3 linked regions of the Canis lupus familiaris genome follow. The protein of the gene in region 1 purifies or fractionates together with the protein of each later gene. This does not show direct contact. Links are inferred from orthologs where the notes say so. Each region holds a gene or a part of one and is shown on either strand. Other genes may lie near its edges.

Region 1 (5,543 bases):
GTCAGTTCTTACTGAAATGTAACAGGCTCACCTCATTCATTTATAAGAAAATGTCTGCCAGATACTCTAAGTAACCATAATTTGTCAGTCATTCTTTTAAGTAAAAATGGTTTTCGTGAAAAAAAGTGGCTGGTTCTTTTACTGCGTGAGGGAAAGAATACAGTAATTGCTAATGCAGTTTGGTACCACTGCCTGGTTTATGCTAAGTTGTGAGTCATTTGTACCCACTGTTGTTTTTGCACCATCAGTGCAAATCTCACTCTAGTGAGAAAGACAAATAGGATCTTAGTGTTATTAGGAAAACAGCTTTGACCCCATGAACTTATTGAAAGTAGTTGCCTTGATGAGTAACTGCTCCTGATAAAAGGGGCCATCTCCATATTCTCAGGTGTCTTGGGACCAAGAAAATAACCAAAAACCACAACAGCCACTCCCCTCACGCAACTCCTGTTGGTAAATTTAAAATTAGTATAAGGCCAGGGACACCTGGCCAGTCAGTAAGTAGAGCATGTGATCTTGATCTTGGGGTCATGAGTTCGAGCCCCACATTAGGTATAGAGATTACTTTAAAAAGATTAGTTTAAGGTCAGGCATGTTGCCTCTGGGTGTTCCTTTGAAGGCAGTTATTCCCTGTTGCAGGAAGCTTTAGAGGCCAGTAGTAGGTGAAGAGTTGATTAATATTCAAGGCTCAGGTTTCCCTTCCTTCACCTGCCCCTGCTGAAATGTTCACCATGTCTATTTCTCTCAGGTGACCCCGAGAGTGTGGCTGGCGAGTATGGACGGCACTCCCTTTACAAGATGCTTGGGTATTTCAGCCTGGTGGGGCTTCTGCGTCTGCACTCCCTTTTAGGGGATTACTACCAGGCCATCAAGGTGCTGGAGAATATTGAACTGAATAAGAAGGTGATTACTTGTTTCCCCCTGCCCTGCTACCCAGAGCCAGAGACTCTGCTTTGAGAGAATCTATAAGGACAAGTTTCAGGGAGCAAAAAGAAGATTCTTCCCCAGGCCATTTGAAAATTGAGACTTGCATGTGGACAAGGTGCTTTCTCTTTGTTGCTTAGTAATACTTGAAATGTTCAGCGGTCTTTCTATTTTCAAAACAATGATAACGTAGATTTTTATTACTCCAGTTTCACTATTTAAGGAATTTGTGAGAGACTTAGTTCTAGGATAGTATAATGATGATTAGCTGTGGTGGTTTTTTCTTAGCCACAGAAAAACTGGTATTTTCTGGACACGTGTGTATGTATCATTCAGTCTTGTTGATCTGTTTCTTTATTGGGTTTACCTGGAAAATCAAGGAGTAGAAAGCAAGGAAGAATACATAACTGAGATGTGGAGGGATATGGAGCTGAAAGAAATGTTAAGGTCACCTGATCCAGTCCCTTTTTATTATATCTAACAAGATGGAGTTCTCAGGTCATATGATTTAGTAAATGGTATAATCTGTATTCAGAGCCTCTAACTCCAGAACCAGGGCTTCCCCTGGGTAGTTCAGGGCTTCTACAGGGGGCTTCTACTTCAGCTGACACTGGACCCTGCCAACTTCCAGACTCTCTCTGGGATGTATTGATTTGGGGACTTACGGATGCTTCTGCCTCCTTCCACAGAGTATGTATTCTCGTGTGCCTGAGTGTCAGGTCACCACATACTACTATGTCGGTTTTGCATATTTGATGATGCGTCGCTACCAGGATGCCATCCGGGTATTTGCCAATATCCTCCTCTACATCCAAAGGACCAAGAGCATGTTCCAAAGGACTACATACAAGTATGAGATGGTAAGGAAGCCTTTGACCAGCTTGATGTCTTGGTACCTATGCCAACAGTTTTTGGTAAATGCTATCCAAAATTTTGCCTTTTATATGTCCTTTCAGTAGGATGATTTCTTAATGGCTGGTCTACTCTTAGTTTCTTTTGTTGTGCCTATTATTTTCAGACCATGAACTCCTTGACGATAAGGACAGTATCTTTTGTTTTACTTTTGTCCCCCAGCAGTGCCTACATTTATTCAGCAACAATTTGCTGAGTGTTCACTGGGCTGTGGGTGTTTTAAAGTGAGTTAGTTGGGGTACAACCCTCAAGCAGTTTGCCATGGAGGAGGGAGGGTCCAAGACATGCATAGAATTGGAAGGTATCTAGGCAGAGCAAAGGTGCTGAAACTTGTAGTACAGTGATGTAGCAGCACAATTAACTACTTTGTTGGAGGGCCGTAGATTAGTCAAATTGGGGTTTTGGTTCTGGGTAACCTTCACTACCCAGACTCCCAGCTGAAGTATTTAATCTTTATAGGCATTATGGTGCCATCAGAGTTTCTGGGTGACTTGGTCATAATGATGTGGGAGGATTGATGTGCCAGTGAAGTGTGGTGGGCCAGGGAGAGTGAGAAGAAGGCTCTACTAAAGAATCCAGGAGCCAGGGTAGCCTGGGTGGCTCAGTGGTTTAGCGCCATCTTCAGCCAGGGCATGATCTTGGAGACCCAAGATTGAATCCCATGTGGGGCTCCCTGCATGGAGCCTGCTTCTCCCTCTGCCTGTGTCTCTGCCTCTCTCTCTCTCTGTCTCATGAATAAATAAAATCTTAAAAAAAAAAAAGGAATCTAGGAGCCAGTTCCAGAGGCTCTGGAAGTGGGCCAGAAGTTCAGTAGATCTAGAGGGCAGATTAGGAGAGACTTCGGGAAAGTTAACTGACCGAGGTAAACTAGGGAGAAATCAGAGGTCTGAGCGTAGTGTACTTGGGAGGGTGGTGGAGCCACGTTGGATGTGGGACCTCAGAAAGTCTATCTCATTTGACCCCGCACCAATTTCTCTTGCATCCCCAGATTAACAAGCAAAATGAGCAGATGCACGCGCTGCTGGCCATCGCCCTCACCATGTACCCCATGCGAATCGATGAGAGCATTCACCTGCAGCTGCGGGAGAAATACGGGGATAAGATGCTACGCATGCAGAAGGGTGACCCACAGGTCTATGAGGAACTTTTCAGTTACTCGTGCCCCAAATTCCTGTCACCTGTGGTGCCCAACTATGATAATGTGCACCCCAACTACCACAAGGAGCCCTTCCTGCAGCAGCTGAAGGTGTTTTCTGATGAAGTGCAGCAGCAGGCCCAGCTCTCCACCATCCGTAGCTTCCTCAAGCTGTACACTACCATGCCTGTGGCCAAGCTGGCCGGCTTCCTGGACCTCACAGAGCAGGAGTTCAGGATCCAGCTCCTTGTCTTCAAGCATAAGATGAAGAACCTAGTGTGGACCAGTGGCATCTCTGCCCTTGACGGTGAATTTCAGTCGGCATCCGAAGTTGACTTCTACATTGATAAGGTATGGCTGCCCCCTGGCCTCATCCTCTGGGGCCCTCTGTCTATCCATTCAGTAGGCAGTGTTTACCAGGTGCCTGCTATTCTGAGCATTTGGGTGGGACTTAGCAGTGAACAAAATCAGCAAAGATTTCTGCCCTCGCACCCATATTCTAATGTTAAAAAACAGGCATTATCGTGAAGCAGACCATGTGGTAGGTATCAATGCAAAATGAACACACCTTTTTAAAAAATTTTTTTTTAAATTTTTTTTTTAAATTTTTATTTATTTATGATAGTTACAGAGAGAGAGAGAGGCAGAGACACAGGCAGAGGGAGAAGCAGGCTCCATGCACCGGGAGCCCGATGTGGGATTCGATCCCGGGTCTCCAGAATCGCGCCCTGGGCCAAAGGCAGGCGCCAAACCACTGCGCCACCCAGGGATCCCTCTTTTTAAAAATTTTTAAAGAAAAAAGTTTCATTTGGGCACAAGTTAAGATGGCTGCTTGGAAATACACAGTCTTCACAAAGAGGAGAGTGCTCCAGGGAAGGAACAGTTGGGCAAGAGTATATACGTTTTTGTTTTTGTTTTTGTTTTACATAAAGAGTTATAAGTCGTGATGAAAGACTTTCCAGAAAGGCTGTAAGACTGGAGTCTAATGGGAATCAGCAAGGGTTTTTTTCTTTATGTTTGGAATGCTGCTTTTTGTTTTTGTTTTTTAATGAAGCAGCTGTACAGTGTGTACTTGGGACAGGAACAGAACCCATGCTTTGAGGTTTTGCCAAGACATTTTGACCCTGGGTAAATGTTTTACGAGGAGCAGGGCCCACAGTGAAAAGTTGAAAATTTCCTTTATTTTCTCATAGGTAGAAATTGCCAAGTGCTATGCATTTAAGGGTAATGGTGCTAGAAGATAGAGGTTGCATTATTACATAAGGTGCTCCAGGTAGCCTTTGTCCAGGAAGTTAAATTGTAGCTAAGACTTGAAGGAGGTGAAGAAATTAGCCAAACAAGTATGTGGGGGAGCAGCATTCCAAGGAGAGGGAGCGGTAAAGGCAAAGGCCCTGGGGTAGGAGTGAATCCAGTATTTTTGAGGGACAGCTTCAGTGTGGCTGCAGTGGCCTGTGAGAGGGTATTGTGGCAGAAGAGAAGATTGGAGAAGAAAGCAGGAGAGGATGGTACAGATTTTTGGAAGTAACTCAGCAAGTCGGAGTTATTCTCCTGACTTGTCCCCACCCTAGATTAGTTAGCACCTAGATTAGTGCTGCCTGGTTTTGAACTTGGTGTAATGGACTGACATAGCATGTGCTCTTTCTTTGTGACTGGCTTCTTTTGCTCAGTGTTACATTTGAGAGCATCGCCATGCACAACAGTCCATCAGTGCTCACTGCTGCAGTAGTTGGCTGCGATTTTCCCATTCTAATGCTGATGGACATTTGAGTGGTGTAGGTTATTACAAAAAGTACATGTGGTTTTAGAGACTGGCTGTCAGTGGTCCACTTAAGGGTTTTTTTGTGTGTGTAATAATTTTATAGATGCTTATGAATGCAGAAGTTATAGGTTTTATTTATTTATTTATTCATGAGAGACACAGAGAGAGGGAGAAGCAGGCTCCACGCAAGGAGCCCAATGTGGGACTCGAACCCAGGAATCCGGGATCACACCCTGACCCAAAGGCAGGCGCTCAACCACTGAGCCACCCAGGTGTCCCCGCCCCCCACATCAACTATTTATTTATTTGTTTATTTATTTTTATGATAGTCACAGAGAGAGAGAGAGAGAGAGGCAGAGACATAGGCAGAGGGAGAAGCAGGCTCCATGCACCGGGAGCCCGATGTGGGATTCATCCCGGGTCTCCAGGATCGCGCCCTGGGCCAAAGGCAAACGCCAAACCGCTGCGCCACCCAGGGATCCCTCACATCAACTATTTAAAGTCCTATTCGAATTTATTCTTGGTGCCTGACATATATTCTTTGGCAGTATTGGTAACCTGCTCCATCCTCCTATCATAACTTTGTGACCCAGCTGGACTAGCCCCAATTATCTAGATGGTCTTTTTTTTTTTTTTTTTTTTTTTTTTTTTTTTAATTTATTTACTCATGAGAGACACAGAGAGAGAGAGGCAGAGACACAGGCAGAGGAAGAAGCAGGCTCCATGCAGGGAGCCCGATGTGGGACTTGATCCTGGGACTCCAAAATCACACCTTTAGCCAAAGGCAGATACTCAACCGCTGAACCACCAAGG
Region 2 (5,543 bases), on another chromosome or scaffold:
TGATGGTCATATACCTAGAATAAAGGAAACACTAATGAGAAACATGCGCACAACTACAAGGGGTGGTAGCAACACTGGGAGTTCTGAGCCACAGGCAGTGTGGGGCGGCCCCTTGCCCACTGGGGTGGTGGTGGGAATAATGGGCGAGGGATCCTTGTGGTGAGGGTGCTACTGGTCAGGATTGCCAGGGGAGGGGATGGAAAACATTCCCACAGTGGTTTGCCTGGGGACAGGGCTACCAGGAAGGCGCCCCACACCGCCCCAGAGGTGCTAAGCCTCTCATGTCCGGTGAAGATCCGGATCATAACCAGGCCAGAACTTACTTGTCAAAGTCTGTGAACAGGTTGACTCTGAACGTGTGCTGCTTGTCCAGCTTGTAGCCATCAGCATTTTTCACAGCATCCAAGGCGTGGGCAGGAGATGCGTATTCCAGGAATGTATACCTGAATCAAGACAAGACCATTTTGCACAACTTCAGACTCTAAGACTGGGCAGGCCATGCTCAACACACCAAGACCCGTCCACGTTACTGTAAGCACCATCAAGGCCAGTGACCCATCTACCACATCCCCAAGAGTCAACTCACGAGAGCACAGGGCTTCCCTAAACACAAACGAAATCCTAACAGAAGATCCAAAGTCTTTCAGGCCACAATCACAAGTTACACAAGTTAATTAAAATGTTTACCACGTAACAGTTTCACAGATGTACACCTGTCAAATTTATGAGATTATACACTTTAAGACTAAGCAACTGTATTATACAGCAAATTTCAAATAAAGCTATTAAAAATCTTGAGACCATGCACAGTCTAATATTGTGCATTAAGAGTAAAATTATAAAGGGCAACTCTCTCAGGTCTCCTCATTCTTCAGAAGCCTTGTATTATCAGCTTACTATTGCTCAATAAACTCTGCTTTGCTACAAATAAAAATAAATTTTACAAACTTTAAAAGAATAAAAGCAAAATTATGGGGGCTCCTGGGTGACAGAGTTAAGTGTCAATCTTTGTTTCAGCTCAGGTCCTGATCTCAGGATCATGAGATCAAGCTCTGTGTCGGGCTCTGCGCACTCAGCACAGTCTGCTTGGGACTCTTTCTCCTCCCTCTGCCCCTCCCCACCAAATAAATAAATGAATTCCTCATGGAAAGTAAAATTTTAAAGGCTTTCAGTGAGTGCTTCATAACAAAACATACAAGACAAGCAACTGCTGGTCAAAAAGAGATTATCCTTCAGGATAACAATGTATCCTACAATGTATCCTTTCTACATTGTTTCTGAAATAGAAAAGGCAAGGAGCATAACCTGTATTTGGCAGTTAAAAAAAAAAAAAAAGATTTCTTTAAATCTGAGGTAGTTCCAAAATCTGAATTTAAAAAGTCTAAGTTTTATCATCTTCTCATTCCTGCCTTGTACTCTGAGGCCAGTGTCACATGAAATTCTAATGGAGAATTCTGACAAGCTTGTAGAGCAGCAAACAGAACTCGTTCTGTGGGCTGAGTGAAAACGGCTGAGAATCACCCAAACATAATTTGACATTGTCTACTTGGACTACACATGGGCATTTTAAGCAAGCCAATTCCATTCCAAGTGTATAGCAAGGAAAGGCTCACACCTCTTCTAAAGGGGATGGGTCCAAGACTGTCCCTAACTGCAAAATGCTAAATGTCAACTGACAGAACTGCTGATTATACAACAGAATAGCACAGCCCTGAAAATGAAGGAGCTACAATCACTTTTATAATACAGAACCTCACATTAAATTTAAAAAGTGAATTCTAGGACTCGTACCTCATGCTACCATTTTTAATAGTTGCACCATTTTAGGTTAACAGTAGAAAAAAAGTTGCTAATTAAGCAGTGACACACTGCTTTCACCTAAACTGTAAGAAGTATCCCCATTTCAGAGATATGAATGAGGAGGAAAAAGAATCTTAGAATCAATAAAATACCATATGTAAAATTTTCCTGAAATTTTGTCAGCTTCCAATCTGTTGGTCCCCTTTATTCAGGATGTATCTTGTATCAGTTACTACTCTGATGGCAGAAGATTTAAATTCCAAGCTCTGATTTCTTAAGAATTTAGCAGCCAACTCACAATACCCAAATTCAGGATCACCTACATCTCCTCCTGCCTGTGGAGCTCTCAGCTGAGGGAGGCAGAATGAACAGAGGCAGACGTGCCAGGTGAGGGTGCACCGTGTGTGTGTGTGTGTGTGTGTGTGTGTGTGTGTGTGTCCACAGGGACCCCAGTGCCACCTGGTTGCCACCAAAGGGTGTCAGGGACCAATACCACTCACCCTTTTGTCTTTCCATCCTCCTCTGGATAAAAATCATTTGTGATTTTCCCAAACTTGGAAAAGATCTTATGGATGACATTTTTGAGCTTCTCCAGGCGGTCGGGTCCCACCTGAGGAACGTTGTCGACTACAATCACCGAGTCGATCCCGTCGGCCTCCTGGGGCCGGTCCTTGAGAATGTCTCCCAGCAGTTCTGTACAGGTGAAAGATTTGACAAATTACTTTTTTTTGTCCAAGCAAAACATTAATACGGTTAGCACGCTAAAGAAATTCCGAAGAAGTAAAAAGTGAATAAGCACTTTCACTATGAACAAAAGATCATGACCCTGAACTGACTCAAAATTTAAACTTGAAAAAGTTAGGAAGATTTTAACTCTTCATGCTCCCTTTGTCCATCAATATGTCCATTCATTCCTGAAAATAATGGAAGATTTTAAATGATTTTTTCTTTTTATGCAGAATGCCAACAAAGAGAACAGCTTTTCTCAGGGAAAGCAGGGTGGGGGCTTTCTGACCCACCCTGAATGCAAACCCACCAGCAGGCACTTTCTTCCCATTCAGGTTAAGACAAAACAAACAACTCTTTATGTAAAATAGCCTCAGCCTAGTAAGAAGAGGAGATTAGAGAATCCACAGGTTCCTGAGAGCAAATGGCAAAGGGACCTGGGATCCCTGGGATTCCATGAGATGCCTCAGGATGCTGGAGAGGCACCAGCCATTCAGATAGTAAGTCCACAAATGTTTAGGACTGTGCTCAAGACACATTAAGCAGTACATGTTAACCACTATTTTCATAACAACATTCAAAAATTGAAAACTTAAACAACAAAACCCCAAACTAAAAACGTATTGTTCACATCACCTACTTTAAAAATTAAAATTTTAGGGATACCTGAATGGCTCAGCGGTTTAGTGCCTGCCTTCCGCCCAAGACATGGTCCTGAACTTCTGGGATAGAGTCTTACATCAGGCTCCCTGCATGGAGCCTGCTTCTCTCTGCCTATGTCTCTGCCTCTCATGAATAAATAAATAAAATCTTAAAAAAAAATTAAAATTTCAGTATTCAACATCTTAAGTACGCAAACATCTTAGATTTCCTTCATTTGCATAAGGTGAATGGCTAGGTAAGAGAAAGAAAAGAACAAGTGTGGAAGGACCAGGAAAAGCAGCTCTTGGGGAGCAGATCACAGGTGTGAGAATGGACATGGTACAGTCTGTCCAGAAGATTCAATGCCACCTGGGTGCTGCCTACTGCTGTCTACCTCAGGCCTGCTGCTGGAGACGGACATTCAGAGGTCAAATGAGTTACCAGAGAACATTTAATATAAATTCTGCACAAATCCTTAACCTAATTAGTTGCTAGTCTAGAAAGCTATAAAGTTACAAAGAGCACTGGCTGCATTAGGAGCTCAAACCGATCAAAGATGCTGTCAGAGCCACTGACAGATGAAGCTACATCAGTACATACAGCCCAAAGGAGAAACAGCTGAGGAATGTGGTGGCTTTTACTTGTGTACCTGCATGTCCTAGAACTCAATTATTACTCCAAGTTCTGAATTCTATTCAAAAATTTCAACATGTTATCCAGGATACGTGCCCATAACTATTCCTTCCTATATGTCATTCTAAGTTAATATGTACTTTCTCTACTTTTGTACTGGAAAGTTCCCATACAAAAAAGGTCAAAAAAATTTTTCAAAGTTGAAAAAAGTCTTTTAATTTCAAGAAGCAAGCTATTACAAACTATCTAATTAATTCCAACACTTTCATGAATATTAAAAGCATTACTGTAAAAAAAAAAAAAAAAAGCAATTGCCTCTCAAATTCCAAAGAGTCTAAAATTGAGAGCAAAGAAAAAAAATGAAGAGGCTCTAACTAGAGTCACAGCGATAAGAGACATCTTCACCACTGAGGCTAGAGTCAGCTCCTTGAGTCGTTTTTAAAGTTCACTTAACATACAATTAAATGGCCTGTTTAGCCTGATCTGAATTTACAAGGTTTACAATAATAAGCTCAGCTTTTATATAAACTGTGGACTCCTTCTCACAATCTTTAAGTGTCTCATTTATGAGAATGTGCCCATGTACAGTATGGGAGTAAGAGCAGCAACCGCAAAATGGAGAGAGACATCCTTCATCGTCACCAGCCCGTGTATCTGGTCACTCCTGCCCAATGGATTCCCAACCTGCCTCCGAGAGAAACAAAGAAGCAATTCTCAAAACTAAATGCCAAATGTAAAGATAAATAATACTTGATAGGGCCCAAAAGAAAATATCTTGAGATAAAAACTTTATCTTGGGTGCCCGGGTGGCTGAGCCGTTTAAGCATCTGCCTTCAGCTCAAGTCATGATCTCAAGGTCCTGGGATCCCACCTGCATAGGGCTCCCTGCTCAACAGGGAGGTGGGGGTGGGGGTGGGGGTGGGGGTGGTATGGTGTTGGTTGTATCTGCTTCTCCCTGCTTGCTCACACCCTCTCAAATAAATAACAAAATCTTAAAAAAAAAAAAAAAAAAACCTTTGTCATGTACTTGTCTGGCTGAGCATCAAAGGCAGCTGAAAATTTAAACAGATGACCTTGGGAACAATGCAACTGAGTTACAGTATAGCGTCTCAGAATTAGGAGTCAGGATGATCTCACTGGAGTATGCTGGCACCTCAAGAGGGTTCTTCATGAGACCCAGTCTGCTTTCAAAAGAACCCATCCGGGATCCCTGGGTGGCGCAGCGGTTTGGTGCCTGCCTTTGGCCCAGGGCGCGATCCTGGAGACCCGGGATCAAATCCCACGTCAGGCTCCCGGTGCATGGAGCCTGCTTCTCCCTCTGCCTATGTCTCTGCCTTTCTCTCTCTGACTATCAAAAATAAAAAAATAAAAAAATAAAAAAAATAAAAAGAACCCACCCATACCTTCTGCATCTCACTCTGACCCCGCAGGGCAGTTCTCATTAAACACAAAACATACTTGGGATCCTGACCCCAACCAGTTGGCCATGTGCCCAGTGTTAGTTCCCCAAGACCAGGAGCCTCTCAGGTCACTCTGACCAAAGCAACAGGATCCCAACACCCTCCTGGTGGTCACCTGGCCTGGCTGGCTTGTGCCCACATAAGTGTCCTGACAACTGTCACACAGCCCAGTTCTAGAAATAATTCATGTGGCAGAAAACTTGTGCTCAAACAATTGCTCTTAAAAAAAAAAAAAAACAACTATAGGGGCAGCCCCGGTGGCTCAGTGGTTTAGCGCCTGCC
Region 3 (5,543 bases), on another chromosome or scaffold:
ACCGTGACGCACAGAGGTCAGGAAGAGCACCAGGAAACAGAAAAGGAAAGGTGTTAAGTAAGGCAGGAGAAAACCAGGAGAGGAAGTACCATCAAAGAAATGAAGCTGGGAAGAAAGCGAGCAATGGTGGCAAATGTCACCAATGGTAAGACCAGATCTTTAATGCCATGGGGGGCCCCTGTGGCCTTGACAGGAGTATTGATGGAAGGGCCTCCAGAGTGGGAAGAGGAATGGGAGAAAGCAGGCACTGGAGGAGGGTACTCCTGGGGAGCAGGACACGAAGGTAGAAATGGGGCAGTTGCTGCAGGGATGTGGGGTCATGAGTGGTCAGTGCCCAAACTGGACAAGTGACAGCAAAGGCAGAGGCTGGTGGGAAGGATGGGGAGGCAACCCGAGGCCTCACCAAGGTAGCCTGCGCTGGGTCTGATGCCCAGTGGAGACAGGTCTTTGGAGGAAGGGGTGGACACAGCAGCAAACCCAGAGACCAGGGCCTGGGTACAAGCAGATAGGCTGGTGGGGTGGGGGCTGTGAGTTGTTTCCTTTTTTTTTTTTTTTTTTTTCTCAATTAAACAGCGTTTTTTCAACAGGAAAACCATTCTAAGCTGGTGGGCCAAAAAAACACAGTGGGTGATTTGGCCTGTGGGCCAGAGTTTGCCATCCTCTGGGCAATTGAATGGACCAAGGAGACACTGGGTGACTTGGGAGGGCAGTGCTGAAGGCCCCCCAGCCTGCAGGTGAGAAAAACAGGGCTCAGGAGGTCTCTCCAGCTGTGTGCAGCTGCGTGGGAGCAGGTGCAGATTTAACCAAGATTACAGTTCTGCCAGGTGAGTACAATGACGAAGAGGGGTGAGGGGGTGAGGGTGACACTGGGCCAGAGCCTTGGCTGGGCAAAGAGGGAACCCAGGACCAGCTGGACCATGAACGGGCTGGATGCTAGGGTCAGGGCCTAGGAAGAGAGATCTGCAAAAGAAGGAGAGGGGTATGGGGTGGGGACAGGTTCAAACTGAGATGATGGGAGGGGTGCATCACTGTCTGCAGTGGGTGCTGGGGCGGGGAGTGACCTTAGGGTGGGTGGTGGAGGGGGAGCGGAGGCTGGGGACCTCGCAGGGCCTCTGGGAATGCTGCCCTAGCCGGCCAGAATGGCAGGAGCAGAGACAGGGTCTGCAGGAGGCAACTGAGGGAGAGGTGGGGTTTCCAAGGAGGAGGGGAGCACAGGGGCCACATGGAGGAGCAGGGACACGGCTGTCCTGGATGTGAGGAAGGGGTGGGACGCAGTGGATGCAGGCTCCAGGATGCAAGAAGAGCTAGGACTCATTTGGACAAGAATGAGGGGGATGCTCGGGGAGAGCCTGGGGATCTGAGGCCTTGCTAGGGACTGAGTGCCCCAAAGTAGTGGGAAAATTTAGGAACTGAAGACAAGTGGGATGGCAGGTCCAACAAGGGGCTGTGCAAGCACAGACAGGGTGCGGAGCGAGCTGGGGGGTGGGGTAGGGCTTTTCCAGCTGATGTGGGTGGGGTGATAGGGTCCTTGATGTCAGGGGAGGTGGAGAGCGGAATTTGTGTTGGAGGGGAGGGCGTGTCGGGGGTCTTACCAGCAGCCACCGTATTTCTGGGCCCGTTCTCACATTCATGAGTGGCGGGGTGGGAAGCGGAGAGGCCCCCACATCTGTCCCCCCACCCCAGGCTAGGAAGGCAGGCTCCATGTCTAAGCCTCTTCTCCATTCACAGAGCGTTCTGCTTAGTGATCTCTCTGTCCTCCCCTTCCAGCTCTGGCCTTGGCACCTAGCATAGTCTCAAGGGATGTCTGTGGAACTCAACTGGTGACAGCTGTCCTGAACACCGACTGTGTGGCCGGCTCTGCGCATGGGCTGCTCTGGCAGCATGACACTCTACTTGCCTACTTACGGTGGAAGACGCATGTCAGTAATCACAAAGGAAACACAGTAGGACTTTTTTAGTAACACAGGCATTCAGACAAGGGAACCCGAGGCAGGTGGGACAGGCAAGGCAGTTCTGTGCAGAAAGTGGGCTGAGCCTGCAGAGGCAGGGTCTCCTGGCCAGGGATGGACTGTCACCTCCCCGCACCTGCCGAGGGCCTCACTTCAGTAACCTGGCTTTCCTCACGCAGCCACCTGCCTCCTCCTGAACTTTCAGAGGTGCTGGCTGGCTCCAGGAAGATCTGAGGCAGGGATATCGGGTATCCAGATCCACCTTAAATAAATCTGTCGTTATAATCATGTTGAAACACGTGGCCAGCCACTGGGATTGGCTCCTGGCTGGGGGTAAGGCTGGCTCTTCAGAACACTGGGAAGGAATCAAATTTTGTCTTCAACACACTCCTACCTTCCCGATCAATGTCCTATCTTCTCTTCCCCTGATCTGTGCACTGGCTCTATCTCTTTTCTTTTTTTAGAATTTTACTTTTTTTTTAAAATTTTATATACTTATTCATGAGAGACACACACACAGAGAGAGAGAGAGAGAGAGAGAGAGAGAGAGAGGCAGAGACACAGGCAGAGGGAGAAGCAGGCTCCACAAAGGGAGCCCGACGTGGGACTCGATCTCAGGTCTCCAGAATCAGGCCCTGAGCTGAAGGTGGTGCTAAACCACTGAGCCACCAGGGCTGCCCTATCTCTCTTCTAAAAGACTAGGTTTGCTGCCTGTTTTCCGCACTGGGAAGTATTCCTGGAGTGTCTGCAGAGCAGGCTATAGGTCATAACTATTAAAAAACTTAGACTTAAAACATTCGAGTCTGAGGTTTCTTCTTGGCCCTTCCTGGAAAGGTCATACCCCCTGTGGCCCTTTACTTCCCTGTTTCCACCTGACTGCCTGGTGTCCCTTGCCTTCTCTCAGCTCCTCACCTGGACTTGGGTCCACAGGAACATCTGGAACCTTGGGGCCAGGGCGACGCCAGCTGCACGGCTCCTTCCCCTGTTCGGTCTGGGAGAGGACCTCGGGCTTGGAGATGGCATAGTCTGAGGAAGGACACAAAGGTTAGCTTTGGCCATGGAGTCCCATTCAGAGCTGGGGACAGGCAGCCTAGGAATCCAAGAGTGGCCAAGAAATGAAACTTCTAGATTAGTATAGAGCACTGGTTCTCCACCAACAGGCAATTTGTCTCCTAGGGGACATTCAGCAGTTTGGTGTCTTTTTTTTTTTTTTTTAATTTATTCATGAGAGACACAGGCAGAGGGAGATGCAGACTCCATAGAGGGAGCTTGACGCGGGACTCGATCCTGGGTCCCCAGGATCAGGCCCTGGGTTGACGGCAGTGCTAAACTGCTGAGCCATCCAGGCTGCTCCGACATTTTTGATTGTCACGACCGGGGGTTGGGGGGTGAAATGCTCCTGGCACTGGTGGGTCAAGACCAGCTGCTGCTGAACATCCCACATTGTACAGACCAGCCCCACAACAATCATCTGGCCCCAAATGTCAGTGCCCAGGTGAAGAAACACTGGTAGAGTCTCCCCATTAGGCAGCAGTGCATTTCTTCAAACTGAAATATAATGTCACGCCTACACCTGTTCCCATCTTCACTGAGCATGCCTTACTGCCTACAGATCTGAGGTCACACAGAAACCAAAACCGTGCCAAGAGGAAAGAAGCCCTGGAAGGAACAGCCTCTTGGGGCTACCATGTGTGGACCGTGACAGTGGCCCCAGGGTCTGAGGGAGCAGAGCCTCGAGGGATGAAGACAGCACTGGTATGGGAAGCATGGTCTGCCCAGATTCTTCACTAACCCAGAGGAATGTCACCAGAAAGACCACATATTCCTGTAAGAGAAGGCCAAAGGAATCTGGGCCCATGACATCCTGGACCTGAGAGCAGCCAGAGGCTTGACTCTGTCTCAGCAGGACAGAGACGTCCATGCTCCGTGCCTGGTTAGGAGAAATGCCACCACCCCTCTCTGTCTGGCAACCTGTGAACTTCACCGGGTACAGGGAGCTTTTGACTCGGTCACCTGGTACTCATCTTTAGTAAGAGGAGGAAATAACTCTTTGCATGGTCAGAGTTTCTAGTGATTTACACATCCTGGTGACGAAAGCCACCAGCATGGAGAGGAGTTTGGAGACACTCAAAATCACATTTAACAGAAAAATGAGTATCAGGCCTTACCCAGGGACACCAGTGTCTCGTAGTTGCCCCGCATCACGTGCTTGTAGAGCTCCTTCTGCCACTCGTCCAGCTTGCCCCACTCCTGCTCAGAGAGATACATGGCCACATCATCAAAGGTCACAGGCACCTGGAACAGTGTCACGCACGCTCACCCACACACTTACAGGCACCACCCCTCAGGCCATCCCACCCCAGGTGCCTGAGGGATACCTTGGGGACTTCTCCTTTGCTGCCTGGTGGCAGCCGCAGAATCCAGAAATTTCGGTTTTTCAGCAGGTTCTCCATGTTCTCCAGCCGCCTCTGCAGCAGCCCATACTCCTGCAGCAGGGTCCCCAGCACGGCCCACTTGCCCTCCAGCTGGTTCCCGAACTCCACAGCCGTCTTCTCGCAGTCCGCCAGCTTCTTCTCGGCCATCCCTGTCCGCCCTTCTAGGGAAAGCAAGCGGGCAGCCTGCGATTCGATCTTCCTCTCCATGGCCTGAATTGTGGCTGCCATCGTCCACGGAGAAATCTTTCAGAAACAAAGAGAAGTCTGTGACCACTCAATCCCTCCACCACGTTCCTGGAGCCCCTCTCCCCCAGGGGGAGGGGGCTTGGCAAGGGGCGCAGAGCTCCTATTGAAAGTGGGGATTCCCTGTGCCACATGCATGATCTCAGCCTAGCTATCAGCTCCTCTGGGTAACCCAGGCACCACCGATGTGCGCTGTGCACCACCTTCCATCCACGGCCTGGCACTCACTGCCCTGCCCGGTGCCCTCCCGCATTTGCCCATCCCAGCTCTCTGAAGGCAGCACTGCATCTTTTGTAGCACAGCACGTGGCCCGTGGAAGGTGCTCAGTGCAATTCTGTTAAATAAACAGTGACTTAGCACTGCCAGCGCCTTTCAGGGGATAAATAGTAAACTGCAGATTTACTAGAGCCCAGCCAGCACCTCCCATCATAATCACACAGGAACTGTCTACGGATGATGACCTAGCAAAAAAAACAGCTGGTTCACTGAACCGGCACAAACATGAGCATTGCTCAACTGCTTTTTTTTTCCTTTTTTTTTTTTTTTTTTTAAAGCATCTCGTGCCTCTTTTTAATAAACATAAAAATCAAACAGCTAATTCCTCTTCCCCCAGTACAATCAGATGGTCTCCTCCCAGCTGCTCCTCCTTAAACTAAACATCACCATTAGTGTAAATCTCCCCTGGCCAAGAGTTAGACTTTTTGACACAGGTAGTGTGGCTGGTCAAGGGGACAAAATCAACACAGGTCCACTGGGGCCCCAGAGTCTGTTTCTCTCACCATACCCACCCCTCTCAAGGGCCTGAGACATTTTTGTAACTACCCCAGGATCAGTGGCACACCTTACAGATTTTAAGGTAAAACACATGCCATAAGGCTAGACTTTTGTATGTACGACAACTGTCATAAAGCTTCTC

The links.
Region 2: the proteins of EIF3L (region 1) and EIF3B purify together in Homo sapiens (affinity purification with mass spectrometry; 8 studies listed by BioGRID and IntAct, counting the BioPlex papers as one, with this or other methods). This does not show direct contact. The link is inferred for Canis lupus familiaris from reciprocal best matches to the Homo sapiens genes EIF3L and EIF3B.
Region 3: the proteins of EIF3L (region 1) and ZNF746 purify together in Homo sapiens (affinity purification with mass spectrometry; 3 studies listed by BioGRID and IntAct, counting the BioPlex papers as one, with this or other methods). This does not show direct contact. The link is inferred for Canis lupus familiaris from reciprocal best matches to the Homo sapiens genes EIF3L and ZNF746.

The regions. Positions count from the first base shown.
Region 1 is NC_049231.1:27,760,714-27,766,256, reverse strand, and holds part of EIF3L (eukaryotic translation initiation factor 3 subunit L), read left to right. Parts: intron 1-748; coding exon 749-903; intron 904-1,613; coding exon 1,614-1,784; intron 1,785-2,824; coding exon 2,825-3,322; intron 3,323-5,543. UniProt on the Homo sapiens protein: Component of the eukaryotic translation initiation factor 3 (eIF-3) complex, which is required for several steps in the initiation of protein synthesis.
Region 2 is NC_049227.1:14,939,649-14,945,191, forward strand, and holds part of EIF3B (eukaryotic translation initiation factor 3 subunit B), read right to left. Parts: intron 2,494-5,543; coding exon 2,301-2,493; intron 444-2,300; coding exon 324-443; intron 15-323; coding exon 1-14.
Region 3 is NC_049237.1:15,145,243-15,150,785, forward strand, and holds part of ZNF746 (zinc finger protein 746), read right to left. Parts: intron 4,628-5,543; coding exon 4,328-4,627; intron 4,200-4,327; coding exon 4,118-4,199; intron 2,976-4,117; coding exon 2,862-2,975; intron 1-2,861.